7 linked regions of the Macaca mulatta genome follow. The protein of the gene in region 7 interacts with the protein of the main gene of each other region in a biochemical or structural test. Links are inferred from orthologs where the notes say so. Each region holds a gene or a part of one and is shown on either strand. Other genes may lie near its edges.

Region 1 (4,826 bases), on a different chromosome or scaffold from region 7:
TACCCAGGTTCCTGGCTCAGCCTCTACCTGGCCTCACAGTCTCTTCTCCTGCCCCACCAGAGGGGTGTTCCTAAAGCACAAACCTGACCGTGTCCTTTCCCTACTCAGAACCTCCCAGGGCTCCCCAGAGCCCCATCCCCCCACCACCCCACCCCAGAAAGCCCTGCCTCCTTCCCACAGCCCTGTGCAATCTGCTCCCCGCAGCTTCATCGTAACCTCCTCCAGCCTCCTACTCACGGCCTCCATGCCAGGTTCCGCTCACCTTTGGGCCTTTGCCACCTGTTTTTTTTTTTTTTTTTCTGCCTGGAGTACCGTCTACCCTCTCTCCAGGCAGCCACTCTCACTTCCTCTCTGAAACACTTCTTGAATCTATTTCTGTCCCTCCAGCCTGGTTGGCGATCACCACCCCTCACCTGTCCACTAATCTAGCCTCCTTCCTGTCTTACCCTGGAGTCCAGTCTCTGCATGGCAGCCAGGGATCTTTTCTGAATGGTAACTGAACCACGGCACCCCACTCTTGAAACATCCCATGGCATCGACCACCCTCAGGATGACACCCACATTCCCCAATCTGACTTCCAAGGTTCTACCTCTGGCCTCATCTCTCACTGGTCCTACCTCCCTCTCATGGCTCCCACCAGATCAAACTTCTCCATACTTTGCTTCTGCTCCTGCTGGAGGCCAACTCTTTTCCAGGGGTCCAGATCCTTTCCACCTCCACCTTCTCCAGGGTTTTGCTGCTGCAAGTCTCCCCTCTCACATGCAGAATCAATTCTCCATCTCTACTGGACTCTACTCTCTTCCATCCTTACAAAAAATCCATCTTCCCCTGACACTGCATGTTGTTTTTTTTTTTTTTTTCTGTCTGTTGCCCGGTCTAGAATGCAGTGACGTGATCTTGGTTCACTGCAGCCTCTGCCTCCCAGGTTCAAGCGATTCTCCTGCCTCAGCCTCCCCAGTAGCTGGGACTACAGGTGTGTGCCACCACACCCGACTAATTTTTTAGTAGAGACGACGTTCACCATGTTGGCCAGGCTGCTCTTGAACTCCTGCGCACGTTCACTTCTTACCACCCTCCCCCATTTCTCCACTCTTCTTCAGAACCAATACTCCTAACACTTAACATTTGCTCTCTCCACTCCCTCCCTTCCCATTCACTCTTCAGCGCCCTCTTGGCTGCACCAGCCCCGTCATTCCCCAACAACTGCTCCTGTCAACATCACCATCAGCATCCACGGAGCCAAAGCCAATGGCCAGTGCTCGCCTTGGCAGCATCGGACTCAGGGCACCAGCTCCTTGTTCTATAAGCGCTCTCTTCTCTCCGCCTTCCCGACACCTTTCCTGGCTTCCTTTCCACCTCACTAAGCGGTCCTCCTTAGCCTCCCCCTCTTCCACTCGGGATCTGTCCTAAGTCCCCTCTCTAGACCCTCTTACTAGATTATCTCATCCATTCCCAACCATAGTTTGATCACACCCAAATTCTTCTCCAGTCCAGACTGTCCCATTTACTTACTCAGTGTGTCCTCCTGTAGGGCCAGGAGTGGTGGCTCACGCCTGTAATCCCACCACTTTGAGAGGCTGAGGTGGGCGGATCACCTGTGGTCAGGGTTTCGAGACCAGCCTGGCCAACACAGCGAAACCCCGTCTCCACTAAAAATACAAAAATTAGGTGGGCATGGTGGTGTGCATGCGCATCTATAATCCCAGCCACTCGGGAGGCTGACGCAGGAGAATCACTTGAACCAGGGAGGCGGACGTTGCAGTGAGCTGAGATTGCGCCATTGCACTCTGGCCTGGGCAACACGAGTGAAACTCCGTCTCAAAAAAAAAAAAAATTCCAAACTGCTCTTTGCAATGACTCGGGGAGACCCTGCATGATCTGCCCTCTGTCCTAATCTCATCTTGCTATTGGTCTCCCGCTAACTAGCAAAAGCCCCAGCCATGCCAGTGTCCTTTCATTCCCCACCCCAGGGCCTTTGCACAGGCTGCCTTAACTCCCTGGAACACTCCTCTCCAGTTCTTCCTCTGTGAGTTTCAGCTTAAATGCTTCCTGCTCAGTAAGGCCTTCCCCCACTACCCTATCTAAAGTAGCCTCCAACCCTTATTCTCTACTTCATCACGCTGCTGGTTTGCTTTCAAAGCACTCATCACAATTTAAGTATTTTACTTATTTACATGTTTTTTTTTTTTTTCACGTCTGGTTCACCTGCAAAATTACAAGCTAAGGACAGGACCACATCTCTCTCCTTCACTGCTATATCCCTAGAGTTAAGCACAGTCCTTGGCACATAACAGGTACTCAATAAATATTTGTTGAATTAATGAATGAATGGGTGCCCCACACTTGACTCTTTCTCAATATTCTAAGTGATACTATTCTTGGGGATTCCCACCCCTACTCCCAAGGCCCCCACCATCACATTCCTTTTCCTCGGTCAGCCCAAATCTTCTACTTCCTTGTTCCCCCCATCTAATGATCCATTCCCCACCCCCACGATTGCCGCCTCTATTGGGACTGTCCCTCCTCTACTCCCCACTTGGCGGCACCCACCCCAGGACTCCCCATTTGGTAGCGCCATCACTCACTCCCCCACCACATGTCACTGCCTGGTAGCGCCCTCTACAGGCCTCACGTTTGGTAGCGCCCTCATTCCAGTCCCCCTCTCGCCCCACAATTGGTGACGCCCTCCTCAGTCTCTCCACTGAGTAGCACCCGCTCCGCACGCCACTCCTAGGTATCACTCTCCGAAGCCCCCTATGTCGCCCCTTGGTAGCGCCATCCTGGGCCTCCCCACGCCCAGTCACTTGGTAGTGCCTGCCCCGCGCCCAGACTGCAGCTCCGCGTTGCCATGGTTCCGCGCGGGCCCGGCACCCTCGGCCTGAGCCGCTGTCCACCCTCCCTGCTAGGCGGGCGCACCTTTGAAGTAGTCATTGGCCTGAGTCTTGAGCTCCTCTGCCCGCTTCAGAGCGCCATCAGCCGGGTGCTCGTCCCGGGGGGGCTCAGCACACTCAGTCCGCTCGCCCTCCGCCATCGCCATGCCGCAAAGCGACCCCTACCCTGGCAACGGCCGCCAGCGGCACCCGGCCGAACCGTCGCGAAGGAGCGCCGGGTGGCCGCCGCCGCTGCCGCACAAGTGTCGTAAAGCGCGGGCCCTGAAGGGGCCCTTCACGCGCCTGCGCAGGTCCCTCTCGCCATAGAGCGCGCGGAGGACAAGGTGACCAGAGGGTCCCCGGACGGTACCCCTGGTAGAGAGAGCCAATAGGGAATGAGAGAAGGGGCGCGCGGGGAAACAGAGCTGGTGTGGCCTCTGCTCCCAAAGTTACCGTGTTCCAAGGCTGTAAAAAGTTTCTCGGTTCTTAAAGTGGGATTTCCCTGCTCTCCTCTAGGGTTGGGGGGTGGGTTGTGAATGTCGCTGGCGGGTGTGGCTGCTTTGCAAGGCAGCGCCATGCCCTACGCGGAGCCGGACCCGGGCGTCAAGCCCTATTGTCAGCTACCTGTGTGACCTTGAACAAATCTTCCCTTCCTCTCTAGGGCCTCAGTTACCCATCTCTGAAAAATGGGTGGCTTCTCAAGCCAAAAAAGGTCCAACCCTGAGGGTGTTTCTGAGTTTTTAAATGAAGGCACTCTGGATTTCAAGTCCTGAGCAAGGCTCAGAAGTGTGTTGCACCATCCCCTTTCTTCCTGTGTTCAGCTTCCCAAATCCTGAATCTTCAAATAAACTCTCCTGTTTGCCTTTTTACAGATTCTCTTGTCTGAGATCACAGCGTTGATTGCATGCACTCTGCCTCCCTCATTTACCCTTCACATGGCAGCTAGAGGTTTGGTTTGGTTTTATTTTGTTTTGTTTTGAGAGGGAGTCTCCCTCTGTCGACCAGGCTGGAGTGCAGTGGCGCAATCTAGGCGCACTGCAACCTCTGCCTCCCGGGGTTCAAGCGATTCTCCTGCCTCAGCCTCCCGAGTAGCTGGGATTACAGGTGCCTGCCACCACGCCCGGTTAATTTTTGTATTTTAATAGAAACGGGGTTTCACCACGTTGGCCAGGCTGGCCTCACTGCCGACTTCAAGCTATCTGCCCACCTCGGCCTCTCAAAGTGCTGGGATTACAAGAGTGAGCCACTGCACCTGGCCGAGGGATCTTTCTAAGACATAATAAAACCATGGCACACCCTCACTCCCAGCCTTCCATGGCCCCAGCACCCTTAAGAGAAAACCCAAACTCCTGATTAGGAGACCCTGAATAGTCTAACCTCAGGCTGAATAGTCTAATCTCCAGATTCCACCCCTTCCCCAACCCCCATCTGCCGTACACCCTTCCAGTCTGTCCTTTCTAAGCCCTCAGGTAGCACTAAGTCCTGTAAGGCTCTGGTTACCCTCCTGGAAGCACACTCCCAAACCTATCTATTCCACTCCCAAACCTCTTGTTAGTCCATCCCCATCTCTCCCACTGCCCCCAGCACAACCAACAATCACCCTAAAGGGCAGATATTAGTATCATCCCCATTTTACAGATAAAGACACAGACTTGCAGAGGTGTTTGACCAAGGTCACAACAACATAAGAAGGTGACAGAGCCAGGATCAGGAATCCTATCTACTTCCTGTGTCCTTCATTGCCACTCTACTGCCTCTGTAGGTGCCAGAGCCCATCTTGGTGGCTTAGTAAATGTTTCTTTTGTGTTCTTTGTTCGTATTGTTTGTTTGGGGGCTGGAGGAAAAGGAGGCTGCCATAATGGATTTCAATTTTGGGTTTGAGTCCAGCAGAATCCTTTCCTGACTCTGTGACCTTGGGCAAGTGATCACCCTCTTCTAAGCCTCAGTTTCAACCT
Region 2 (4,229 bases), on a different chromosome or scaffold from region 7:
TTTTAGGGGTTCTTGTTTGCAGCACTTAATAGTCTGCAGCCTAATATACCTAGTAAATAACTTGAGTACCAGAGACATAAATAGAACATATGCTACAAAAAGGCAGGGGCGGGGGGTGGGGGAATTAATATCTAGTTTTTGTTTTTTGAGGCAGTGTTTTACGATCTCAGCTCACTGCAACCTCTGCCTCCCAGGTTCAAGTGATTCTCCTGCCTCAGCCTCCCGAGTAGCTGGGATTACAGGTGCCCAACACCATGCCTGGCTAAATTTTGTGTTTTTTTTTTTTTTTTTTTGAGACAGAGTCTTGCTATGTCACCCAGGCTGGAGTGCAGTGGCACAATCTCGGCTCACTGCAAGCTCTGCTTCCTGGGTTCATGCCCTTCTCCTGCCTCAGCCTCCCAAGAAGCTGGGACTACAGGCGCCCACCACCACGCCTGGCTAGTTTTTTTTGTATTTTTTAGTAGAGACAGGGTTTCACCATATTGGCCAGGATGGTCTTGATCTCTTGACCTCGTGATCTGCCCACCTTGGCCTCCCAAAGTGCTGGGATTACAGGAGTGAGCCACCACACCCAGCAATTTTTGTATTTTTTAGTAGAGACAGGATTTCGCCATGTTGGCCAGGCTGGTCTCAAACTCCTGATCTGCCTGCCTCGGCCTCCCAAAGTGTTGGTATTACAGGCGTGAGCCACCGCACCTGCCCAAAATCCAGTTTGAAACCGTATTTTTTAACATAGCTAGAAACATAACTATATTTTTAAGCAGAAAAAAACTTCCTTCTGATAGCATCATTAGTACAAGAAAACATTTCTAGTTTAGAATATTGAGTTGAAAATTAAGAATGTATATTATGGAATTTAAAAATCTAAAAGCACAGGACACATTTTCAGAAGAGTAATTTTACTTTTACCCACTTATGGTAATATTTGCAATATTAGAATATAATTAGGTTAAATAAATCAAATAAGGAATCCAGAAGAAACTGTTCTTCAGTGAAGCCAAGTACGCACTGGCAATTTTGAGAAAGGAGAACTCTACACGTTAAGAAAAAGAACACACAACCTCAAATCCAAGTTTATATGGTGAGTGTTTTTAAAGGATTTAAGCAGCATGCTCCATCAGCATAATAGCTTTTTCTCATTTATGTAACAGATGCATTTCTGTCTGCTTGTGTACAGCAAAGGGTTAGAACCTGAATAAACTTATTTATGATTTTAGAAATGTACTCCATAGAATTTACTTCACTGCTCCTACCACTGATTCTTCAAATAAGCAAAATACAGAAGGTCTTATCCCTTGAAAATGTTTTTAAACACTAGCACTTTAAATTGAAACACTGGTAGAAACGTAGCAATGTCAGGTACAATGCCTATACTTAGTCTTATTTAAAATAAGAATTGAATGCACAACAGAAAATTTATCATTTTCTTTATCATCGGAGGGGAGGGAAAGAAAGCAAGCAGAGGTGGGGGTATGGTTACACTATTTAAGAGCTGAATACAAAGACAATGAGTCTTTCATAGTCTCAACAACTCCACAATGAATAACTGTGGATTATCTCATTTATAATTCACATTGGATCAAAAAAATTGGTTCCCCTCTGTGTATATCAACTTAATTCAAACCATATTATCTTCAGAATATAAAGATGAATACTACAAGATAAACTCTAACTGCAATAAGTATTTTCTAAGTAGAAGACCAAACACCAAAGGGAATCCCTCTTTCCAATGTCTTCTGATATGGCAAGATTTTGCCAGAACGGAAGTCTAACACTTAAATAAGCATTCTCTTGGCCAAGTAAGAAACTACAGTTGTTGTGGGTATTACCCTACAATTACCATATGTATTACATATTAAATTAAACTCAGCATTAAATATGCTTGTATAGTTATGCTGTTAATGATGATAGCAGTGATGATGCTGGTGGAAAAAGCCTGTCTTTAGCCCAAGAAAAGTAAGGGAGAAAAACCTAACAAGCAGAAAACAAACACAGAGTTGGGCAATTTTTGACTAGGAAAGAGAATTTTAAGCGTAAAAATATAAAAAGAAAAGTACTCCCTTATTTCCCTTATGTGGAAATAATATGAAACACTTATTAGATATACTGGACAAGAAGAGAACTCCAACTCTACTGCAGCATTACAAAAAAAATCATCCCTTCACCACAGTGTAAGATTTAAGGGCAACCTGCCCAAGGATGCATGTTATATAAAACACAGCAAGACTGCTGCTGCCCTGCTAAGTACTTCCAATCCCTACCCAGGTCCTACTGAAATACGGGTGGTCCCAATTAGTTTTATTGAAATAAATCTTTAAAGAAAAAGATAAAGCATTTAAAAAGACAAGTCAAAATGCATCAGGAACCACATATCTAACACAAATTTTATCCTCAAATGAGTTATGTTTGCCTCGCACTAGTAACTTTTATTTCACTCAAATTAGAGCAATAATCTTCCATACATATCTTCCCTGCCCAATTCAAAGAAAAAAAATCCAAAATGATCAGTAAAGAAAAATATAAGAATTAACAGACCCTTTAAATTTGTTTTAAATATTTTGAATATTTAAAAAGTGTTTAAAGTTTGTAATTCCTAGTAGGAAAACATTATCTGAATGAATACCCTAATGGCAAACCACTGTAAAATGCTTCAGCTGAATTTGGGGGAGAGGGGTAGGGATTATCTTCAAAGCACCCCAGCTCTCTTGATGAGAAGGTCAGAGGTACACTGGTTTGTATTATTGCGACATCCATAAGGTGATCTAGGTTGCTTTTCCTTCAGCAAGGGCTTTATTTATCAGAAGGGCATTACGCTTGACCTCCAAATTTGGCTGACAATTTACTGATGAGATTCATAACCTTTGGGTTGCTCTGGTATTTTGACATATTTGCTGGGTTCTGAGCCACATCCTGGAAGGCCACCATAACTTCTGGATCCTGAAAACAAAGGGTTTGTTAGTATTTAAAAAGTATCCTACTGGGTCAATAAGTTTATTATCCTAAATTCCATCTCTTATTTAGACCTATAATTTGGTCATAGTTAAATGGCGTTTAGACAAGTGCTTGAAGTATCAAAATCAAGCTGAATTATGTCATTTGAACTATATGATGAAAAAAGCACAATTGTGATACAAAGAAAAGGACAACTGGATATAATTGCCAATCATTACTAAGTATTTCCTAGTTTTAAAAATTTAATTTACTCACTCTGCATAAAGAACATAAATGTCACTCCTGCATAATTAGCTATTTGATAACTGTGATAAATAAAAAATAGCTACAAGAGTAACCTTTGTCTCCACACAGAATTATGAAATAATTGCCTTAATGATACAAAGTCCAAAGTTCTTCCAAGTCTTACCTGCATGGCTGCAAGAACCTCTGGATCACTAAGAATTTCATTGAGTCCAGGCATTCCAGCCATTCCAGGCATGGCCCCTCCCATTCCAGGCATTCCTCCGGGAAAACTACCAGGCATTCCCCCAGGAAAGCCACCTGTAATAAAAAATGAAGAGACACTAATCATACTCCCAAATATTCTGTCACAGTACTTCATCCACAAAAAGCACAGGTTCAACGAATAAGGGTGCCACTAAGCACGAAGTAGTCTGAAGAGTCTGAAAATTCTAATCAGACTGACACAAGACACAAGTTATAGCTTCTAATTATCTCTTAAAAAACAAGGCTGTGGGCCGGGCGCGGTGGCTCAAGCCTGTAATCCCAGCACTCTGGGAGGCCGAGGCAGGCGGATCACGAGGTCAGGAGATCGAGACCATCCTGGCTAACACGGTGAAACCCCGTCTCTACTAAAAAAAATACAAAAAACTAGCCGGGCGAGGTGGCGGGCACCTGTAGTCCCAGCTATTCGGGAGGCTGAGGCAGGAGAATGGCGTAAACCCGGGAGGCGGAGCTTGCAGTGAGCTGAGATCCGACCACTGCACTCCAGCCCGGGCGACAGAGCGAGACTCCGTCTCAAAAAAAAAAAAAAAACAAAAACAAGGCTGTAAATCTCACTTTGCTACCTCCTGGATCAGCATTTTTCTAGTAATAACAGTTTTTTATTTTTGTTTGTCTTAAGACAGAGTCCTGTTCTGTCACCCAGGCTACAGTGCACTGGTGCCATCTTGGCTGACTGCAACCTCTGCCTCCCGGGTTTAAGCAATTCTCCTGCCTCAGTCTCCCAAGTAGATGAGACTACAGGCACGCACCACTACACCTAAGTTTTGTAT
Region 3 (3,962 bases), on a different chromosome or scaffold from region 7:
TTAGCCTCTCCGCTTACCTACTTGCTTTATTCCAAAGTGAATGTTGACGTCTGAAGTCTTTTTATTTCATCCAAAGACCTGCTGTCTTCCCTCTCTTCCTGTTGGATTAAATGACGTTCCTTCCTAGACCTTGGATTGTTCCATTTAATGCCCCAGGCCTTGTTCTTCCTGGGGTGGAGCCAGCCATTTGCAGTCCTGCTGAGGGGTACTTTTGGAACCCAGTCTTGGCCAGATGAGCTACAAGCCCTGAGCTCCCACGATGTTGCTTCCTCCCTGCATCCTTTAGGCCCTAGAATTGGACAGCAACAATGAGAAGGGCCTCTTCCGCCGGGGAGAGGCCCACCTGGCCGTGAATGACTTTGAACTGGCACGGGCTGATTTCCAGAAGGTCCTGCAGCTCTACCCCAACAACAAAGCCGCCAAGACCCAGCTGGCTGTGTGCCAGCAGCGGATCAGAAGGCAGCTTGCCCGGGAGAAGAAGCTCTATGCCAATATGTTTGAGAGGCTGGCTGAGGAGGAGAACAAGGTGAGGATTGGGGTGGGGAACAGCGGGAATAGCATCCCTCCACGGAACCTGGCTACTGTGGGCTCTTGGTGCCTTTGGTTGTCTGTGCCGATCCCAGAAACCAAAAGTTGCCCTTTTCCCTGGAGCATTAAGGAGCATGTGTTCTCTGCTATTGGGGCCGTGTTCTGTGATCAGTGCTAGGATCCTACCCACAAGCCCCAGAAGTTGGGTTGGTTGCTCTGAGTGTAATTCCCGATTTATGTTTTCTTGTGGGCCAGGCACGGTGGCTCACACCTGCAATCCCAGCACTTTGCAGGGCCAAAGTGGGAGGATCACTTGAACCCAGTAGGTAGAGACCTCAGTGACTTATGATGGCACCACTGCACTCCATCCTGAGTGACAAAATGAGACCCTGTCTAAAAAAAAAAAAAAAAAGCTAGATGCTTTTTATGTGTGATTAAATAAATGATACATTTACGTAGTTAAATTCAAACTGTACCAGAGTATATACAGTCAAAAGTCTGCCTCCCCCACCAGAAGCAGCTGACCCTTCAGGTTCTTGTATGGTTCCAGTGTATTGCATCAGTGCACAGGCAGACATTCATGTTGCTTTCTCCCTTTCCCCTAACAAGAGGCAACGTGCTCTATCATTTGGCACATACTGTGCTTTTTTCACATGATAGTAGCTGGAGGCTTATTTTACATCAGTATTTAAAGAACTTTTACATTCTTCTTTAGGCTTACATAGTATTCCATTGTGTGGATGTGGCTTATCTTAGTCAGTCAGTCCCCTTTTAGTCTTCCAGTGTTGTTGGTGTTTTTTTTCTGAGACAGTTTCACTCTGTCACCCAGGCTGGAGTGCAGTGGCACGATCTTGGCTCACTGCAAACTCTGCCTCCTGGGTTCAAGCGATTCTCCTGCCTCAGCCTCCCGAGTAGCTGAGATTACAGGTTCCCGCCACCACACCCGGCTAATTTTTGTATTTTTAGTAGAGACGAGGTCTCACCATGTTGACCAGTCTGTCTCGAACTCCTGACTTGAGTGATCTGCCTGCCCCTGCCTCCCAAAGTGGTGGGATGACAGGTGTGAGCCACCATGCCTGGCCAGTCTTAAACAGTGTTCTAAACCAGCACTGTCCAGTAGAAATACAGTATCAACCACATGTAATTCAAAATTTTCTGGTAACCATGTTAAAAAGGTGAAAAACAAATGGAATTAAATTTTAGTTGCATTTGTGTATTTTTCAAACCATCTTCAAAATCCAATATATATTTTGCACTAAAAACACATGAGTTTGAACTAGCCACTTACAGTAGTGGCTACCATACGGGACAGTACTGCTTAGAACAGCATTGCAGTGAGTAACCTTGTGAGTTCATAATTTGTACATATATAAGTGTTTAGTTTTGTTTGAAACAGTGTCTCTTGCCCTGTCGGCCAGGCTGGAGTGCAGTGGCACAGTCTCAGCTCACTGCAACCACCACCTCCAGGGCTCAAGCAATCCTCGTCTCAACCTCTCGAGTAGCTGGGACTACAGGTGCATGCCACCACGCCCAACTAATTTTTGTAATTTTTGTTGAGCTGAGGTTTCACTGTGTTGCCCAGGCTGGTCTCAAACTCCTGGGCTCAAGCAATCTGCCCACCTCAGCCTCCCAAAGTTCTGGGATTACAGGTGTGAGCCACCAGGCCTGGCCTATACAGATATATTTTTAGGACAGATGTAGGAGAATGGGTGTATCTGTGTAATTCTGCTAGAAATTAAGTGTGTGTTTTTTCACTTGCGATGTCAGCCTCTTTGCTGTTCCTCTTCCTTGCAGGCCAAGGCAGAGGCCTCCTCAGGAGACCACCCCACTGACACAGAGATGAAGGAGGAGCAGAAGAGCAACACGGCAGGGAGCCAGTCTCAGGTGGAGACAGAAGCATAGCCCCTCTCCACCAGCCCTACTCCTGCGGCTGCCTGCCCCCAGTCTCCCCCCTCCACCCTGTTAGTTTTGTAAAAACTGAAGAATTTTGAGTGAATTAGACCTTTATTTTTCTATCTGGTTGGATGGTGGCTTTAGGGGGAAGGGGGAAAGGAGTAGGCTGGGGGATTGAGGTGGGGAATCATTTTAGCTGGTGTCACCCCCTCTTCCCTTCCCCCTTTGCACATGAACATATGTCCATCCATACATATTCATCAGAATGTTAATTTATTTTGCTCCCTCTGTTAGGTCCATTTTCCAAGGGTAGAAGAGGCAAGTGGTAGGGATGGGGTCTGATATGAACCCAGGGTGGAGAGGGAGACTCCTGGGCAGCCGTTTTCCTCATCCTTTCCCTCTCCCAGTCCATTTCCAAACGTGGCCTCCATGTGGGTGCTAGGGACATGGGAAAAACCACTGCTATGCCATTTCTTCTCTGTTCCCTTCCTCACCCCCAACGGTGTGGCTGATGTCTTCTGGTGTGATGGTGACCACCCCTTGCTCCCTGTTCTGGTATTTCCCCTGTCAGTTTCCCCTCTCAGCCAGGTTGTGTCCCGAAATCCCCTCAGCCTCTTTTCCGCACGTTGCTGAAGGTCCAGGCTTGCCTCAAGTTCCGTGCTTGAGCAATAAAGTGGAAACAATAAAACCTGGGTGTCAGACAACCCTTTTTGTTCAGCCTTGGAGGGGTGGGTATGGGTGGGTACATAATGGGTAGTGGCAAAATTAAGGGGTCACCCACTTAGTCCCAGTGGAGCTTAAATAAGTGCAGCATCTCAAGTAGACACCGTAGTTGGGCAGGAAGCAGCCCCACGATGCAGGGCTTCCTGAGCACTGCACAGGCTGCAGCTGGGACTTGAGTCTATGCACTCCCTCCCTCCAGCAACCTGGCAGTTTTTAGTGCCTCTGGTTTTCTTCCCTGACGCTTAGGAAGAGGAAAGTATCAAGATCTAGAAGACTGGGACACCATGCATATGCATTTTGAAGTTGGAATTGGTCTTCTGCCTACCTCTGATCTGGCAGAGGTATCTGTGCATTTTGGTTTCTTAACAAGGTAAAACTCCTGGTGTCACTAACCTCTGTCAGATAACTTTTACATGATTAAGGTCGAGAGTAAAGAGGGGTCATGCCCAGCTTCCTTCCCAGCCTTAACAGGAAACAGCTTGTGCTTTTTTTCTAACTATGCTTTGACCCTTAAGTCCTATGGCATGATGGGGCCCTGGGAGAAGCCAGGCAGCACAAGCCAGTCATGCTGAGCTGCCTCCAGATGATCCTGGCTCCAGGTTAGAGCCCGTGTCTGCCCTCATCCCTCTCCTACTGTGGGCTCTCCAGTCCTTTCCCAACAGTGATGTGGTTGTCTGCTTAGCCACATGCCTGTATAGTTCCTTCCAGAAGAAATTTATAATGGTGGAAGATTGATTTCTGTGAAAATTTTCACCAAGTCATACAACATGGCTGATGCTGGAGCCAGGATGAAAATTGGGGTGTGCAAGTCTCCCGGT
Region 4 (4,117 bases), on a different chromosome or scaffold from region 7:
ATAAATAATCATCCTGACCATACTAAAACACACGAAATCAACTTTAACCACACACTAAATTCATTAAAATAGGCCAATAATTTTCATGACTGGAAACTTCTATATTCATCAAAAAATGATTTTATTTCAGTTCCTAGAGGAACCAGCACTTAAACGAAATTACTCAATATTTAATTATCAGACAGCTCATCCTGAGTCTTGTCTCAAATATATTTGGTATTTGAAATTTAAAATAATAAAATCACGAAGAATGAAAACTGTGGACTTACCACCTCAGATTCTGAGCCTATTAAAACATAAAAAGGAAACATTTTCAGGTAACAGTGCATTTATAAGCAAAGTTATTTATATGATTCCTATAGCACAAACATACTGATTAAGCAAGCAAATTCTACATACTTTTCAACTAAAGAAAACTAACCAAAAGAAAGTGGTTTCATTTTGCATTCTGAACTCATCTTAGACTCCTTGTAATTTCTTACTGATACACCACACAAACAAATCCACCCTAATCTCCCATTCAACATAAGAAGCTATGCAAAAACCAGTGTATCTTTGGAAGTCCACATCTAAGGAAACATATACTATTTAAAAGAAATTATAAAGGTAAAAACAAATTTGTTTAAACCGAAAAAAATTCAGATGTTTATTTCTTTTTAAACTAAATACCAAGGGAGACCCACATACCATTCTGAGCTTCTTGACACCTTTTAATCCAGACACTGAAATTAGCATCTGCACCTAGAAAGAAAAAACTGACTATAACATCACTCATCTGCACAACCTATTAATCAACAAATACTTACTGAATACCTACTACATCCCAGGCACTGTTCTAGGCACTGGGGAGTCAGTAGTGAACAAAATCTGTCTTAACAGACCTTATTGCCAACCCTTCTATAGTTATGAATATACCAATAGTTTAACATTTAGTTGTTCATCATGTAACATTTTGATTTTTAAAAAATTTTAACTACAGTCAACCTTATTAATTTCACAGATAAAAATAATCTACATTTCTCCCAATCTCGCTGCTCTTAAAGAAGTTTCCTCACACACACAACAAAATCAGATGTAAATCAAACTCTCAATATGCCATCAGTTAGGGTGGGGAGGAGGCTTGGTAACTGGGAGCTGAGTTGAGGTCCAAAAGGCCTTCCCAGCCCCAGCTTGCTCTTCAATGCAGATACCTATTCAGTCCACTATTCTCTCAGTGGCTTTATCTGTTACCATGCCCTTCCTACCAACACTAAGTATCCTTAAATTCTGTGAAGTTTGTCATATCTCCAAGTTACACGGCAGTCGAGGGGCTATAGGTGATATATTATATATTTACAGATAACAGTGTAAATGAATGCATAAACAAATTATTCATTTCTGGAGACACAGAACAATGATTACATTTAAACAGTCACTGTACATAGTAAGATATGTTAAAAATATTAAAAGTACTCTAAAGAAAAGCTTATTAATTCAAGTTAACTTCAGGGAAGATTAATTTGAAAATTTTAAGTTAGAAATTTCTTAACAAAAATTTCTACTTTACTAATATATAAAAGAAATTCAACTATACCAGCCTTAATAAAAATTCTAAATACACTCTCTCACACACACTGTATTCCAGAGAACTATTATATCAAAATCTTAGATTTGAGTAACCTATTATTTTAAATAATCAGTAACTAAAACCAACCAATTTATCACACAAAGAGGGGAAAAGGTAAAAATTCTTTACCCTGTCTGATAAAAATAGAAGCCTAAAAGCTTAACTTAACTTTTTCCCAGATTTTGGCCGGGCATGGTGGCTCATAGCTGTAACCCCAGCACTTTGGGAGGTCAATGCAGGTGGATCACTTGAGGTCAGGAGTTTGAGACCAGCTTGGCCAACACGACGAAACCCCATCTCTACTAAAAATACAAAAATTAGCCAGGCATGGTGGTGCATGCCTGTAGTCCCAGCTGCTCAGGAGGCTGAGGCAGGAAAATCACCTGAACTCTGGAGGCAGAGGTTGCAGTGAGCCAAGATCACACTACTGCACTATGGCCTGGATGACAGAGTGAGACTGCGTTCCAAAAAAAGAAACAAAAAACAAACAAACAAACAAAAAAACCCCAAAAAACAACAAAAAAAGTCTTCTGGATTTAAAGACAAATTTATTTTTAAGTGAAATATCCTCAATAGCAATTTTACCAAACAGGTCCTCTTCTGAAGGCCACCTCTGAAATAACTAAAAAATAAATGTCAATGGCATGATATTAAGATCTTAAGAAAAGAATTCAGGGGCCAGACACAGTGGCTGGTGCCTGTAATCCCAGCACTTTCGGAGGCCAAGGCAGACAGAACACTTGAGTCCAGGAGTTCAAGACCAGCCTGGGCAACGTGGCGAAACCCCATCTCTGAAAAAAATAAAATGCAAAAATAAGTCAGGTGTGGTGGCATGTGCCTGTAGCCCCACTTACTCAGGAGGCTGAGGTGGGAGAATCACTTGAGCCCAGGAGGTGGAGGGTGCAATGACCCGAGATCGCATCATTGCACTCCAGCCTGGGCGACAGAACGAGACCCTCGCTCGCTAAAACAAGAAAGAAAAATGAAAATGTAGAGAATGGTATGACTCATGTTTCTTCAGGATTTTCACATATGTATCAAGGCACTACATAATTTGACTCTAGAATTTGCTAAGTATCAAAGCACTACATAACTTGACTCTAGAATTTGCTAAGAGTGCAGATGCCCTGTTTGCTGACTGAATAGCCCTAATTATTCACGTACCAAAACTGAGATAAGCAAGTTTGAGAATAAGCCTTACCACCCAGACCTCTCCTTTTTTAATCTGTAGCTTCCATTTGCATAGTCAGTGCTAAAATCCTTTTTTCTGAATAGGTACACAACAGAAAAGCAAACATTCAAAACAGTAGAGTAAGAATGTAACATAAAATACTAAGAGTGAAGTTTCTTATTTTCAGCACTACCGACATTTTGGACCAGATACTTCTTTGTTAGGTAGAACTTTCCTGGGCATTATAGGATATTTAGTAGCACCCCTGGTTTACACTCATTAGATGTCAGTAGTACATCCCCCTCCACCATTCATGATCATCAAAAATCTCTTCAGACACTGCAGAGTTTCCCGGGAAACAAAATTGTTTCCAGTTAAGAACCCCTTCTTTAAGAGAAATGTGATAAAACTCTATCATAACATAAAGATAAAATGATAGTACAAGTAGGATTATGTAGTTTCCAATTTTCTGAGATTACTCACAATCTCTTAGTATTTTTCAGATTTAAAAATTCTTGGCTCTCACAATTTCTGTATGTCCAGATATCCCTACCACTGTGATACTTTTCATACATTTCCCTCAAAAATGTAACATTAAAAGTCACAATACTCTCAAAACTGTGTTTCTTCTGTACCCTCTCATAATTTATTCAAATATACACTTCACTTCTCCATAAAAACCTTTAATGTTAAGATTTCACATCTCAGCAATCTGAATAACGTAAAATGAACAGACTTCTGACCAAGAAGGCAAATTAAACTTTCACTTCTCCATTAGAAAAAAAAAAGCCAGACTAAGTAGAGACAGCATAAGTGTTTCCATAGAGTTTTTTACTTCTAATGGTAAAGTTCATCTGTGATTTAAATGCCAAAAGGCTAATTTAATCAGTTTTAAGTGATCTCATATCTGCAATCAATATGAAATGTAATTAAGATGAGAAAAACAGGTATTGGGTTTCTACAATTAACCTGAAATTAACATTACCAAAATTCAGCTTTGGTATTTAAGACAGAAATAGATAAGTTTATTAAAGTATAATTTTTAATACTTACTATCTAACTTTTGTCCTTCTGTAAAAGTTTCTAGGGCAGCAGCATAGTTTTTTTCATGGTATTCACATATTCTGCATGAATGTATTTAAAACAAATTAAGACACACAAAAAATCTGGAAAATAGCCTTCTTTCTAAATAAAGAAACTTAGTATTTTCTACTGTTGAAATAAAAAATTTATTTTAAATATATGTTAATAAACCAAGAGACTTTCTAATATACTCTTAACATCTAGTACAATTCCTAGTAAAATTCAGTTTTGGAACTCACTTCAGAAAGAATCTGACT
Region 5 (4,117 bases), about 41 Mb from region 7:
GAGAAAAGTCTTGCTATCTAGAGGAATTTCAATATTTGATGGGTGAGGAATGGGTTCACAAATCAGCACCAAGCAGGTCATAGGTGGTTTCTTATACCCACACTGAGGTTGGTTACTGTTGGTATCATATACGTGAATATGGCCTGTGCAGTGCAATACCTGTGTATGAAGAAGAAAACAAAGCAGTTAACAAAAATTTTACAATGCTAGGAAAAAGAAAAAAAAAGCAGAGATAAGTTGTTGAGTGTGACATGGCCAGTAAGCTTTGATAAAATTTACTGTCACTAGTGGATTAACCAGGTTTTTGAAAATCAATGAACGTTTTTCCACCACCCATGACCTACTTCCTGCCCAGGGCCTATACATTACTGTTTAAAAAATTCCCCTCATATAAAGTCTAGGCTGCTTTTTCATTCATCTCATCATCCGGGCTGGTTTGATAGTTATTTCTTGCACTGATGACTATGTCTCAACATTGAACAAAGATACAAAACCATGATTAATAGAAAATTAAGCCCTACCAGGATCCAAATATTGTGTGGTTGGCAAAGCCAACTGATTAGGTAAGCCTAGTATACCAGTGCCACAATTCACCTAATTTAAGTTTGTGCCTCAAATTGGCAAATTACTACACGGTTCTGGATTTTAGGAATCATATGCAAATCAGTTGAAGGTATAAATGTTACATAACCAAACACCAAGGAACTGTAAACCTTCCCTCACAATTCTAAAGTTATCTTAATACTGCAATGTCTATGTATAAATAAAGTGTATCATCAATCACAAATAATTTTCACTTACCTTCCATGTTGCAGACTTTATGTTCATAGTTCTTCCTCGGCTAGTTAGGGTACACTTCATTCTGAGAAAAAAGCTTCGCTGTGTGTTTTGTTCTTTACCCTTTTTCACAGGGCCTAATGAAAGCATGAAATAAAGTTTTAAAGCAACTAAATATACAAATTTGTTACAATGAAAGTAGCAAAGTGCCCATCACCTAGATCAACTGAATACCTGTTCAATTAAAAGTCTCAGCATGAACACAGTAATTCATTCCCCTTTTACTCACTCCAGCACACCCAAGAGATCTGACACATACTACTCAGTAGCTCTGATTCCCTGAGTTGACTGAAAGATAATCCGTATTTGGGATAACAGTTAATCATTCAAGCAAGTAAGTTTAGTCAAACTACAGAGAAATATAAAAATGGTATGAGTTTGCTCTTTAACTGTGCTATTGGTACACAAGAATCCCTAAAGAAAGAACTTCAGCAAACTCTTCCTATTCTTTCCTGAATGTGTTAGCTCAATTTCTAATAAGCACTCTATGTATTTACAGAACCTTTAAAATAGCAACTTTCTTTTTAATAACAAATAACATTTTTACATATCTTATTTTTTCCCCTTAATTTATCTAGTAAAGCAGGCAGAAAATTATTTCTACTTTGTTACTATAAGAAAACAACAACAGATCAAATGACTTATCAAAAGTTACAGAAATAGGGCATGGTGGCTCATGCCCGTAATCCCAGCACTTTGGGAGGCTGAGGCAGGAGGATCACTTGAGGTCAGGAGTTCGAGACCAGCCTGGCCAACATGGTGAAACCCTGTCTCTACTAAAAATACAAAAATTAGCTGGGTGTGATGGTGGGTGCCTGTAATCCCAGCTACTCGGGAGACTGAGGCAGTTGAATCACTTGAACCCGGGAGGCGGAGGTTGCAATGAGCTGAGACTGTGCCACTGCACTCCAACCTGGGCGAAAGAGTGAGAATCCATCTCAAAAAAAAAAAAAAAAAAAAAAAACTACAGAAATAAAGTAAAGTCAGAATTAAGTAAAGTCTATTCACTCCTATTTCAAACCTTCTATAACTAAAAATGAGATTATATTTAGGTGACTAAGGAAATAGCATCTTGCTGGGCATGGTGGCTCATGCCTCATGCCTGTAATCCCAGCACTTTGGAGGCTGAGGCAGGAAGATCACTTGAGGCCAGAAGTTTGAGACCATGCTGGCCATCATGGTAAAACCCCATCTCTACTAAAAATATAAATATTAGCTAGGTGTGGTGGTGCACGCTTATAATCCCAGCTACTTGGGAGGTTGAGGCGTGAGAATCACTTGAACCCAGGAGGCAGAGGTTGCAGTGAACTGAGATTGTGCCACTGCACTCCAGCCTGGGTGGCAAAGTGAGACACTGTCTAAAAAAAAAAAAAAAAAAAAAAAAAAAAGGAAATAGCCTCTTGATTTCTTATCTTCATTGGTCAATGTACTTCAAAACACATATAAAAATATTTATTATTTAGAACCTGGACTAGAGATTGCAGGCAATACAAAGATGAGTAAGACACACCACCTTTCCTGAAGAAGTTAAAAATGTAGTAGATATAGTAAGGTCAACAAAAACACAATGTAGAGTTGGTACTTGAGACTTATAAAAATGCTTTAAGGGAGGATAGGGAGAGCTTAGAGGAATAACTTCTAGTCAAGGGGAATCAAGAAGTCCTGCTTAGAAAAAGAGACATTAGAATGTCAGTAAGTAGAGATGGGTTAGAAGGTTCCAGGGAGAAGGAAGAGAATGAAAAGCACAGAGGTAGGAAAAATAGGACATGTTTGAAAAACTGCATATAGTAGTTTGTCCACAATGTAAAGTACACATAGAAGAGTAGGAAGGCAAAGTCAGAAGGGAACGTTAGGGCTGTACTACGGAGGCCTGTGGATGTCCACATGGAGTCCTGCCTAAATATTCAACAAGGGGCTTTTAAAAAGCACAATCAGTAACTTAAGGAAAATTAACTTAGCAGCAATATATATGTTAGAATTACGTGACTGTAATGAGAGGGCTGAGCCAGTAGCAGTAGTATGAGTGAAAAGAATGGTGGTAAAAGACAAATGAAGAGGTAGATCTTAATAGACTTGAAAACGGATGGAAATAAGACAGGAGAGAAAATCAAATCTAGAAATTGTAATGCTAGTATATTGGAAGAACACTGTCAAGTAGAAAAGAAATGAGAGTAAGTTTAAATGTAGGCATGGTTAGCTAGAAATACTGGACTCTTAAGGAACAAGATGAATTCTAGCCTATACTCATTTAATAATGGAACTAGGCAAGATGGGCAGTCCTGGTACTGATGCATGCCACTTGTGTTTACTTAGATAAGAAGTGAATTTGCCCTCCCTGGAAGGATTCAAGAGTATATTTTTAAAAGATGCCATGAGAGCAAAGGGTGGGGGTGGGAGGCGAGGGGAAGGGAGGGAGTGTGGGAGGGAGAGAGAGAGAGAGAGAGAATGAGTGTGTCGTGTGTGTACGTAGGTGGTGATGGTTGTGGTAGTGGCAGTAAAGATCCACATGCAAAATCCTTTGGGTATGTTCAGTCCTTCATAATCTAAGCTTGAATTATACTGACCTTTGAAAAGAACCCAAGGCCTTTGAATGGGGACCTGCAGATTAATTTAAAAATCAAGGTAACTGAAAAGTACTAGTGTTTTCCTAATGAGGAAAAAAAACACAACAAACCATTAAAAAAAACCCCTAAATTTTAAACTCTCTAAAAATAAGTCTTATTTTGTAATAATTTATAAATTCTAAAGCATTTTTCTAGAATTTATACGGAAGAATAATAGGACTGTTTGTCCTATTATAAACACACCACTGGCTCTCAGTGTATCACTAAAATATGATGCTTTGCAACAGTCCCTAGTTTCTAAAAGAGAAAAATCTGCATTTTAGTTTCCCAATGGAACATCAATAATTCATAACCACATTAGGAATGATTTCAAAATGTTTGTGTGCTTTAAAAAAGAACATTTGGTTCGAAACATACATTTAAACTATATTAAGACTATCTGATTTAGAATAATGCATTAACATCATTACCAAATCAGAACAAGACTTCCTAATATCCATCCATTTATAGTCTAGCCCCAGGGAAGCACTGAGCAGTCAATATAAACCTCAACTCTGCACATTAGAACTCATATATTAAACTCACTGACAGCCCACTTAGGTCCTTGCTCATCGCATATTTACTCCTCCTTTATACAGAATTCTAAAAAGTACGCATTTGTTTTCCAAATTAACAGTAAAAACACAATATGAAATTTAAAAACAGGAGTCAGGTCC
Region 6 (4,117 bases), on a different chromosome or scaffold from region 7:
GGCTCATGCCACCATTCCCGGCTGTTCTTTCCTTCATTGTCAGGGTCAGCATCCACTCCTCGGGAGGAGCAGACCAAAGAGGGTCAGTTATGAATGAGCTTTTTGGGTGCTAGGGAGGGGGAGGGATCACTTACAATTTGGCTCCCATCTGAGGCAGTTTCATTAGGGCTGGGTCTCTGTTACCTGCTTATCACCATCAGGAGCTTGTGAAGACCCTCATGATCTCTTGGCTACTCCCCCTCCAGAGTTGTTGCTCGATTGGAGGCAGAGTGCAGAAGAGGTGATTGTCAAGCTTCATGTGGGAGTAGGTCCCTTGCAGCTGGAGGATGTAGATGCTGCTTTCACAGATACGGACTGTGTGGTGCGGTTTGCAGGTGTGTCCATCTGCCCTGAGCACAATAGTATGTTTGAATCTTTTGATATCTCCTATCCTACCTCATGGACCCTGCTCTGTCTCCAGGTGGTCAGCAGTGGGGTGGTGTCTTCTATGCTGAGATAAAAAGCTCTTGTGCTAAAGTGCAAACCCGCAAGGGCAGTCTCCTGCACCTGACACTGCCCAAAAAGGTGCCTATGCTCACGTGGCCCTCCCTCCTGGTGAGTTCTAGTAGTACAGGGTTGGGTAGGGATAGCCAGTGTAGTCGACAGGGCCTGACTGCTGTATCTTTGGCAGAAGAAACCTCTAGGGACCCAGGAGCTGGTGCCGGGGCTGCAGTGCCAGGAGAATGGGCAGGAACTGTCTCCCACTGCCCTGGAGCCAGGCCCTGAGCCCCACCGGGCTAAGCAGGAGGCCCGGAACCAGAAGCGGGCCCAGGGCCGTGGTGAGGTAGGCTCAGGGGCTGGCCCCGGGGCCCAGGCAGGGCCCAGCGCCAAGAGGGCTGTGCATCTCTGCAGAGGGCCAGAGGGGGAGGGGTCCAGGGATGACCCTGGACCCCGGGGTGATGCCCCACCCTTCGTGGCTGACCCGGCCACTCAGGTGAGAGTTGGGCACCTGTATGGGTGTTAGGAAATGGGGGGAAAGAGTGTGCACTGGAGTGGGAGCCACCTGGCAGAGCCCGGGCTGATTCTGCCCACAATCTTGCCATTGATAGGTTGAGGCTGATGAACAGCTTTGCATACCACCGGTGAACCCCCAAACCTGCCTCCTGGGCTCAGAGGAGAATTTAGCCCTTTTGGCAGGAGAGAAAGCAGTGTCTCCTGGGAATGACCCAGTCTCTCCAGCCATGGTCCGGAGCAGAAACTCTGGGAAAGATGACCGTGCCAAGGAGGAGATGGCAGTGGCAGCAGATGCTGCAACCTTGGTGGATGGTAAAGGTGGGGGTGGGCAGGCCTAGGTTGGGTTGCAAAGCTTGTAGGTGGTTAGGGAGTAGAGTAGCAATAGGCTGGAACCTGTCCTGGTTGGAGCTGAGCCATGGTCTCAATATAGAGCCCGAGTCGATGGTGAACCTGGCATTTGTCAAGAATGACTCGTATGAGAAGGGCCCGGATTCAGTGGTGGTGCACGTGTACGTGAAGGAGATCTGCAGGGACACCTCGAGAGTACTTTTTCGTGAGCAGGACTTCACACTCATCTTCCAGACCAGGTGGGTGGGCAGATGATGGGGCAAACAATGCCTCAGGTGGGACAGTATGTCTCATGCTCCTCCTCTTGTCCTTCCTCCTATCCTGCTGTGCCTCTGCAGGGATGGAAACTTCCTGAGGCTGCACCCAGGCTGTGGGCCCCACACCATCTTCCGTTGGCAGGTGAAGCTCAGGTGGGTGGTGCCCGGCCCCACCACTGTGCCTGTCCTACTCCCCCAGGCTCCATCTCCCTAGCTTATCTATCCTGATGCCCATTCCTCCTAAGTCCCTGAGTTCAGCCTTTTCCCACAGGAATCTGATTGAGCCAGAGCAGTGCACCTTCTGTTTCACGGCTTCTCGCATCGACATTTGCCTTCGTAAGAGGCAGAGTCAGCGCTGGGGGGGCCTGGAGGCCCCGGCTACACGAGGTCTGCACACGAGCTCCCTTCATTGCCCAGTTCCACGTGATCAGGACCCAAACCCCTGTCACGTGCTGCTAACCACCAGCCCTCTCATTCCCCCTTTTTAAGGTGCAGTGGGTGGTGCAAAGGTTGCCGTGCCGACAGGTCCAACCCCTCTGGATTCAACCCCACCAGGAGGTGCTCCCCACCCCCTGACAGGCCAGGAGGAGGCCCGGGCTATGGAGAAGGATAAATCCAAGGCACGATCTGAGGACACAGGGCTAGAGAGTGTGGCAACCCGCACACCTATGGAGCATGTAACCCCAAAGCCAGAGACACACCTGGCGTCGGTGAGAATTCTGGGATGGGAAGGACGAAGAATGGAGGTTGGAGAGTCTTGGAGCTGTTCTCTTATGTCCTCTTTGCTCCCCCAGCCCAAGCCTACATGTATGGTGCCTCCCATGCCCCACAGCCCAGTTAGTGGAGATAGCGTGGAGGAGGAGGAAGAGGAAGAGAAGAAAGTGTGTCTGCCAGGCTTCACTGGCCTTGTCAATTTAGGCAACACCTGCTTCATGAACAGCGTCATTCAGTCTCTGTCCAACACTCGGGAACTCCGGGACTTCTTCCATGGTGAGGGCAGGGCCTGGAGCCTGGGGAATGGGCAGAGAGGGTGCCTTTGTCCCTCACACCTTTGCTCCGCTACTATTCCTAGACCGCTCCTTTGAGGCTGAGATCAACTACAACAACCCACTAGGGACTGGTGGGCGTCTGGCCATTGGCTTTGCTGTGCTGCTTCGGGCGCTGTGGAAGGGCACCCACCATGCCTTCCAGCCTTCCAAGTTGAAGGTAATCTGTGACCACTGTCACCCTTGGCTGCAGGGGGCGGGGAGGGCCAGCTAACCGGTGTGCAGTGGGTGCTAGGGCTTTGTGTTCACACTTTGGCTCCTGTATCCAGGCCATTGTGGCGAGTAAGGCCAGCCAGTTCACAGGCTATGCGCAGCATGATGCCCAGGAGTTCATGGCTTTCCTGCTGGATGGGCTGCACGAGGACCTGAATCGCATTCAGAACAAGCCCTACACAGAGACCGTGGACTCAGATGGGCGGCCCGATGAGGTCAGGGTTAGGGACAGAGGGTGGGCATGTCTCATGAGCATCCCAGCCCCCAGGCCTCTTTGGTTCTCACCACTCTGCCTCTCAGGTGGTAGCCGAGGAAGCATGGCAGCGGCACAAGATGAGGAATGACTCTTTCATCGTGGACCTATTTCAGGGGCAGTACAAGTCGAAGCTGGTGTGCCCTGTGTGTGCCAAGGTGTGATGGGCTCCCCTGGAAAGAGGCCCTCTATTCTGATCATGTTAGGTTCAGAGGCATGTGCATCTTAAGGTTTGGGCGAAGAAGTTGGCAGGGAGGCCTTAGGATTCTATATGGGCTGAAGAGCCCACTTAGGTAGGCTTCCTGACTGAGGGAAAAGTGATGTTAGAGCTCAGAGGTGTTGTGGCAGGGTTGTGGGCACATGGGGTGCAAGTGTGAGGCAAATTCGTAAAGTGGCTAAGCTGAGTAGGGCTTTGAGTGCCAGAAAGGAGGATTGTTATCTCCTGGTGGTCCTCCTGCCCCATCTAGTGTCCTGAAGCCTGAGAGTTTGCTGGTTGGCTGTGGAGGCCTTGAGAGCCATCAGAAGCCCTGGAATGGGCTCTTTGGGCATGAACATTTTGTCTCCCACTCTGTGTGCAGCTACCCAGTGCCACCTCTACATCCACAGGTCTCCATCACTTTTGACCCGTTTCTTTATCTGCCGGTGCCCTTGCCACAAAAGCAAAAGGTTCTCCCTGTCTTTTATTTCGCCCGAGAGCCCCACAGCAAGCCCATTAAGGTGAGGAGTAAGCCCCTACCCTCTGGGCTGTTCTAGAGAACGTGGCCCACCTCCCTCACTGACTGCCCTTTTTGCCACAGTTCCTAGTGAGCGTCAGCAAGGAGAACTCCACTGCCAGTGAAGTATTGGACTCCCTCTCTCAAAGCGTTCGTGTGAAGCCTGAGAATCTGCGTTTGGCGGAGGTACCTTTGTCTTTCTTTGGGCTATTATATATATGGATATGTGTGTGTACTCACCATAGACACGTGTGTATAGTCATTGGCATCTACAGACATACACATGGGCTGGGC
Region 7 (4,810 bases):
GATCCTCTGAGTCTACCACCCCTCTAATGAAGTCTGAAAAAAATATAAAAATCAAATGCACTGAGTCATTCCAAGGACAAAACTGGTACTATGTAAACCCCCAAAAGCAAAGACAAGAACCTGGAGATGATAGGAGATTATTTTTGAGACAGTGTCTCACTCTGTTGCCCAGGCTGGAAGGCAGTGGTGCAATCTCCGCTCACAGCAACCTCTGCCTCCCAGGGGGGTTTTCAAGCTATTTTCATGCCTCAGCCTGCCACCACATCGGGCAAATTTTTCTAATTTCAGGAGAGATGGAGTTTCACCATGTTGGCCAGGCTTGTCTTGAACTCCTGACCTCAAGTGATCCGCACACCCCGGGTTCCCAAACTGCTAGGATTACAGGTGTGAGCCACCATGCCCAGCCAGAAGTATTTCTTTAATCAGTGACAGTGATTATTTTTCCTATCTATACTTACTCAGATATTCAGGGATTAGCTCCTCACAGTTATCCATGATGAAAACTCTGCGTACATACAATTTGATGTTGTTCTTTTTCTTTCTGTTTTCAAACAGGTCAAAAGGAGCACGTCGTGGGACAAATAGAAGGGCTCTGAATTCCAACTGCCCTTCAACTGAAAAATGCTGTAATAGAACAAACACACTAAGTATCAATGAACAATGCATTATAGCAGATATTTGGGGTGGTGGGATGATAATCTAAAGACAAGCTTGAAGCATCCATCAGTCCCTCACTCACCTTCACTGCCAAGTGATCTTCCCAGTCATTGGTCAAGCTCTTGTAGAATTCTCCATACTCCTCATTAGTAATATCGTCGGGATTTCTGGTCCAGATGGGCTTTGTTTTGTTGAGTTCTTCTTGATCGATGTACTTCTCCTTAATCTTCTTTTTCTTCTTCTTGTCACCATCCTTCTTTTCTTCTTCTTCCTCATCAGAACCAACATCTTCAATTTCAGGTTTGTCTTCAGACTCTTTCTCTTCTTTTTCTTTTTCTTCTTCTTTGTCTTCTTTTTCTTCAGCCTCATCATCGCTGACTTCTTTATCACGTTCCTTCTCCACCTTCAAAAGACATGAAATCGCATCACTGCTGCACTCTAGAACTAAGTCATAGCGCTGCCCCACTACTTTCAACCTAAGGCCAAAGCCTAAATTACCGAGGATGAGAAGCAGCCAGGCAGCTTCTCATCAATATTTGATATATCTACTTAATAACCCGAGGAACCTTCACAGTTAGTAGAGCTTAGGTTCCCCAGGCTTCAAACTAGTTCAACAGACCTAGGAACTAAGGATGTAGTACAGTCACCCCAGTCACCTACAGACAGTAATTCACTCTGCAATTATGTAGAAACTTACAAAAAGAGTAATGGGATATCCAATAAACTGAGAATGTTTCTTCACAATCTCCTTTATTCTTCGTTCCTCCAAGTACTCAGTTTGGTCTTCTTTCAGGTGTAGGATAACCTTTGTTCCACGACCCATAGGTTCACCTGCAAGAGAAATAAGGAAAATTGACTCAATAATACATTCAATTTAGTGCTCAACGCCATGCTTAACCCTTATAACGTGTCTATGAAGCGAGGTTTGCCCTTACTACAGATGCAAAGGCTCCCACAGCAGATCTAAGTGCCTTGCCCAAAAGAAGTAATCACCAAGTCATGCCATTACACACTAATTCAGAGCTCTAGCTTGTTCCTGATCCTTGGGTAAACACACTTTCTGTGAACTTCGCCGCATCCCCAGGGGTCCAAGGGTTGCAACACCCCACCATTCCGCCACTGACTTAACCAGTGAGTGTTCAGGTACCTACCTGTGTCTGTCCTCACTGTAAATGATCCCCCTGCTGAGGACTCCCAGGCGTACTGCTCATCATCGTTATGTTTGGTGATCACAGTTACTTTCTCAGCAACCAAATAAGCAGAATAAAAACCAACACCGAACTGGCCAATCATGGAGATATCTGCACCAGCCTGCAAAGCTTCCATGAACGCTTTGGTCCCAGACTTGGCGATAGTACCAAGGTTATTGATCAAGTCAGCCTTGGTCATCCCAATTCCAGTATCCACAATAGTGAGGGTTCGATCTTGTTTATTTGGTATCAGGTTAATATGCAGCTCTTTCCCAGAGTCTAATTTACTGGGATCCGTCAAGCTCTCATAGCGGATTTTGTCCAATGCCTATTAACACAAAATATTAATTAAGCATACAGCCCCCAAGAAGTTCATATTGAAACCAAAATCCTATTCTGGGTTAATAAACGACTTACATCTGATGAATTTGAAATTAGCTCTCTTAGAAAGATCTCTTTGTTCGAATAAAAAGTATTGATAATCAATGACATCAACTGGGCAATTTCTGCCTGAAAGGCGAACGTCTCAACCTCCTCCTCCTCCATCGGTTGGTCCTGGGTCTGCGTTTCCTCAGGCATCTGGAACGACACCGCGCCGGTTTAAAACCCTGCAGGGCGTCTACAGGGGCAACACGAGATTCCATCGCGTCCTCCCAATATTTTTAAAGCCGGATTGCAGATTTGCGAAGTTTAAGTAAACCGAAAATAGAAGGGCGGCTGACAAAGGATGACCTCATTTCGGAGCGCGGTAACTACCACGAGCGTGTGCGCGCTTCCGGGAGGCCACTGCAGGCCCGGCCCAGTCCCGCGCCGCGGTCCCCAACCGACACCCCGTGTGCCCTCCCGCGCGGGCCGCGGCTCCGCCAGGGCGGCCTCCTCCGCCTGCGCCCCAGCTGGGCCGCCCGGGGGGCCCCCAGCCAAAGGGCCGCTCTGCTCGCGTGCGGCGCCAGCTCCGGGGCTGCCGCGGAGACTCGGGGAGCAGCCGCCCAGCCCATTCCTGAGGCGGGCTGCGGAGACAGCAGCGGGCCCACGGCCTCCGGAATAGGCAGCGCGGCCTCCCGGGAGAGCGGCCCTGGCGGGTTCAGGGCTCCCGTTCGGCCCCCACAGCCTCCGCTCCGCGCCAACCGCCCCCACTCCCCAATCCACCTCCACAGGCCCCCACAACCGCCCCTCACACCTTGGCTAAAAGGCTGCAAACGTTCCACGGCACAGCAGCACCAAGACGCTGAAGCAACTGACGCGCCGCCCCCGCGCCTGCCTTATATAGCGACGGGCCCGCCCAGCGCGCGGCGCTTTTTCCAGAAGCCTCCCGAACCTTCCGGAAGAACCCTCCCCAACCGCCGCCGCGGCCGCGCGCCTGCGCCTGCGCCCTCGCCGTGGCCCGCCCCTCCCGCTGGCGCGCGCAGGCCCTGCTCATGGCCCAGCCCGGGAAACCTTCCCTCAATCACCGCCCCGCGCCTCTCGCACGCCCCCGCGCCGACCTCAATGCGCCTGCGCGGCCTGGAATTCTCGGGAAGGTCCGGGCGCCTTCTGGGGCCGCCCGCGCCCTCCTCCCTGCACTCCCACCTGCCGAGCGCGGGCGGAGGGCACGCCCGGGCGTGGGGGCCTTTGAAGTGAGGTGTAGTTTGGTCACCCGGGCTGCGCAGAATGCGGGGCTGGGGCGGGAGGCGCGCCTGGAGGGAGGGCCGTGCGTGGACGGGGAGCGCCCCGGGTCTCGCACGCCCGGGAGACTACCGGAGCCGTCATCCTCACGGACGGCGCGCCCGCTGCCAAAAAATCCAGCCGCAGGCGGCGCCGGGATCGCGGGGCTCTGCTCCCTGGGGGCCTTTGGGCTGTTGGCTTCTAGCTGCTGCGCGCAGGGGACGCCGTCCCGCGGCCTGCGCGCTCGGGGAGTCTCCAGACCCACTGCTGGCTCAGGAGCGCTCCCTACCTTTGGGTTCCCCGGAAGCCATGTCCTTCACACTTCAGGGTCCCTTAGCTTGGGAATCGGGCCCTTGGTGAATAAATTCATGCTTACCCAGCTACACCCGGCATGCTTTTTAAAAGCCCATCGTTTTGCCGATCGATTTGAGGTCTCCAAATTAAGTATCTAACACTTGACATTTTGGTGATTAACCTTCCCTAAAAGACAGGTTTGGTGTTTTTTTGTTTTTGGACAGGCTGTCCCTCTGTCGCCCAGGCTGGGGTGCTGTGGCACAATCTTGGCTCACCGCAGCTTCGACCTCCCGGGCTCAGGTGATCCTCCTACTTCAGCTTTCCGAGTAACTGGGACGAGCGCGGGCGGAGGACCACAAGCGCGGACACCACACCCGGCTAGTTTTTGTATTTATTTGTATAGTTGGGGTTTCACCATGTTGCTCAGGCTGGAAGAACCAGTTTCTACATGAGAATTTTCAGATATTTTGGTCAAGGCCAGCTATGAGAACCTTAGAGGTGTTGGGGTTCCTTAGACTTGGCTCCCATGCCTCGTCCATGTCCTCTTCCTCTCTGGCGCCTCCCATGATTGGGCCTCCTCCTGCCTAAACTCATAGCCAGGTCCTCGGAATAATCTGGAAGCTCCTTACCGTGTAAACAAACGACGGAACTACCTCCGCTTCCTGGTCTCTAGGGAAACCAACTTACTCAGGAGCAGGGGTTTTCAGACTGCGGCCTGGGACCCTTTAAGAGTGTGTGAAATCAACATAAAGCGTCTTGCCCAGCATTACAAAGCGGGGTGGATGGAAACTAGCAGCCACGTGGCGCGGGCCCCAGCGGTGGTTACTGGGTGTGTGCCGGCTCCCGTGATAGCTGTTCCGCAGCCTTGGGGGGCGCCCCCGGCCCAGGCCTTCCCTACACTGCAGCCGGGACCGGCGGGGAGGAATCCGGAAGCAGGCGTGGCGGTGAGCAGGTCGCTGAAGGGGCGCAAGGTCTTCCCTGGCGAGTGCCTCCTCCGCCTGTTTCCTTCCTGTCACCACCAGCCACTG

Evidence for each region.
Region 1: the proteins of HSP90AA1 (region 7) and PPP5C form a complex in vitro, tested with the Homo sapiens proteins (4 studies listed by BioGRID, with this or other methods). The link is inferred for Macaca mulatta from reciprocal best matches to the Homo sapiens genes HSP90AA1 and PPP5C.
Region 2: the proteins of HSP90AA1 (region 7) and ST13 form a complex in vitro, tested with the Homo sapiens proteins (2 studies listed by BioGRID). The link is inferred for Macaca mulatta from reciprocal best matches to the Homo sapiens genes HSP90AA1 and ST13.
Region 3: the proteins of HSP90AA1 (region 7) and FKBP4 form a complex in vitro, tested with the Homo sapiens proteins (4 studies listed by BioGRID and IntAct). The link is inferred for Macaca mulatta from reciprocal best matches to the Homo sapiens genes HSP90AA1 and FKBP4.
Region 4: the proteins of HSP90AA1 (region 7) and SUGT1 form a complex in vitro, tested with the Homo sapiens proteins (4 studies listed by BioGRID, with this or other methods). The link is inferred for Macaca mulatta from reciprocal best matches to the Homo sapiens genes HSP90AA1 and SUGT1.
Region 5: the proteins of HSP90AA1 (region 7) and HIF1A form a complex in vitro, tested with the Homo sapiens proteins (4 studies listed by BioGRID and IntAct, with this or other methods). The link is inferred for Macaca mulatta from reciprocal best matches to the Homo sapiens genes HSP90AA1 and HIF1A.
Region 6: the proteins of HSP90AA1 (region 7) and USP19 form a complex in vitro, tested with the Homo sapiens proteins (3 studies listed by BioGRID). The link is inferred for Macaca mulatta from reciprocal best matches to the Homo sapiens genes HSP90AA1 and USP19.

The regions. Positions count from the first base shown.
Region 1 is NC_133424.1:58,844,356-58,849,181, reverse strand, and holds the start of PPP5C (serine/threonine-protein phosphatase 5), read right to left. Parts: upstream 3,086-4,826; 5' UTR 3,039-3,085; coding exon 2,918-3,038; intron 1-2,917. UniProt on the Homo sapiens protein: Serine/threonine-protein phosphatase that dephosphorylates a myriad of proteins involved in different signaling pathways including the kinases CSNK1E, ASK1/MAP3K5, PRKDC and RAF1, the nuclear receptors NR3C1, PPARG, ESR1 and ESR2, SMAD proteins and TAU/MAPT.
Region 2 is NC_133415.1:10,710,220-10,714,448, reverse strand, and holds the end of ST13 (hsc70-interacting protein), read right to left. Parts: intron 3,496-4,229; coding exon 3,362-3,495; intron 2,938-3,361; coding exon 2,809-2,937; 3' UTR 995-2,808; downstream 1-994. UniProt on the Homo sapiens protein: One HIP oligomer binds the ATPase domains of at least two HSC70 molecules dependent on activation of the HSC70 ATPase by HSP40. Stabilizes the ADP state of HSC70 that has a high affinity for substrate protein.
Region 3 is NC_133416.1:3,698,840-3,702,801, forward strand, and holds the end of FKBP4 (peptidyl-prolyl cis-trans isomerase FKBP4), read left to right. Parts: intron 1-286; coding exon 287-526; intron 527-2,322; coding exon 2,323-2,430; 3' UTR 2,431-3,098; downstream 3,099-3,962. UniProt on the Homo sapiens protein: Immunophilin protein with PPIase and co-chaperone activities. Component of steroid receptors heterocomplexes through interaction with heat-shock protein 90 (HSP90).
Region 4 is NC_133422.1:31,923,478-31,927,594, reverse strand, and holds part of SUGT1 (protein SGT1 homolog), read right to left. Parts: intron 3,902-4,117; coding exon 3,831-3,901; intron 1,909-3,830; coding exon 1,815-1,908; intron 744-1,814; coding exon 688-743; intron 287-687; coding exon 270-286; intron 1-269. UniProt on the Homo sapiens protein: May play a role in ubiquitination and subsequent proteasomal degradation of target proteins.
Region 5 is NC_133412.1:134,833,430-134,837,546, reverse strand, and holds part of HIF1A (hypoxia-inducible factor 1-alpha), read right to left. Parts: intron 915-4,117; coding exon 802-914; intron 160-801; coding exon 1-159.
Region 6 is NC_133407.1:112,551,051-112,555,167, reverse strand, and holds part of USP19 (ubiquitin carboxyl-terminal hydrolase 19), read left to right. Parts: coding exon 1-82; intron 83-245; coding exon 246-374; intron 375-460; coding exon 461-594; intron 595-670; coding exon 671-973; intron 974-1,088; coding exon 1,089-1,311; intron 1,312-1,423; coding exon 1,424-1,580; intron 1,581-1,679; coding exon 1,680-1,751; intron 1,752-1,869; coding exon 1,870-1,985; intron 1,986-2,087; coding exon 2,088-2,308; intron 2,309-2,392; coding exon 2,393-2,588; intron 2,589-2,670; coding exon 2,671-2,804; intron 2,805-2,913; coding exon 2,914-3,072; intron 3,073-3,157; coding exon 3,158-3,268; intron 3,269-3,716; coding exon 3,717-3,827; intron 3,828-3,907; coding exon 3,908-4,009; intron 4,010-4,117. UniProt on the Homo sapiens protein: Deubiquitinating enzyme that regulates the degradation of various proteins by removing ubiquitin moieties, thereby preventing their proteasomal degradation. Stabilizes RNF123, which promotes CDKN1B degradation and contributes to cell proliferation.
Region 7 is NC_133412.1:175,437,426-175,442,235, forward strand, and holds the start of HSP90AA1 (heat shock protein HSP 90-alpha), read right to left. Parts: upstream 3,084-4,810; 5' UTR 3,025-3,083; intron 2,427-3,024; coding exon 2,265-2,426; intron 2,176-2,264; coding exon 1,809-2,175; intron 1,489-1,808; coding exon 1,355-1,488; intron 1,061-1,354; coding exon 740-1,060; intron 625-739; coding exon 459-624; intron 34-458; coding exon 1-33. UniProt on the Homo sapiens protein: Molecular chaperone that promotes the maturation, structural maintenance and proper regulation of specific target proteins involved for instance in cell cycle control and signal transduction.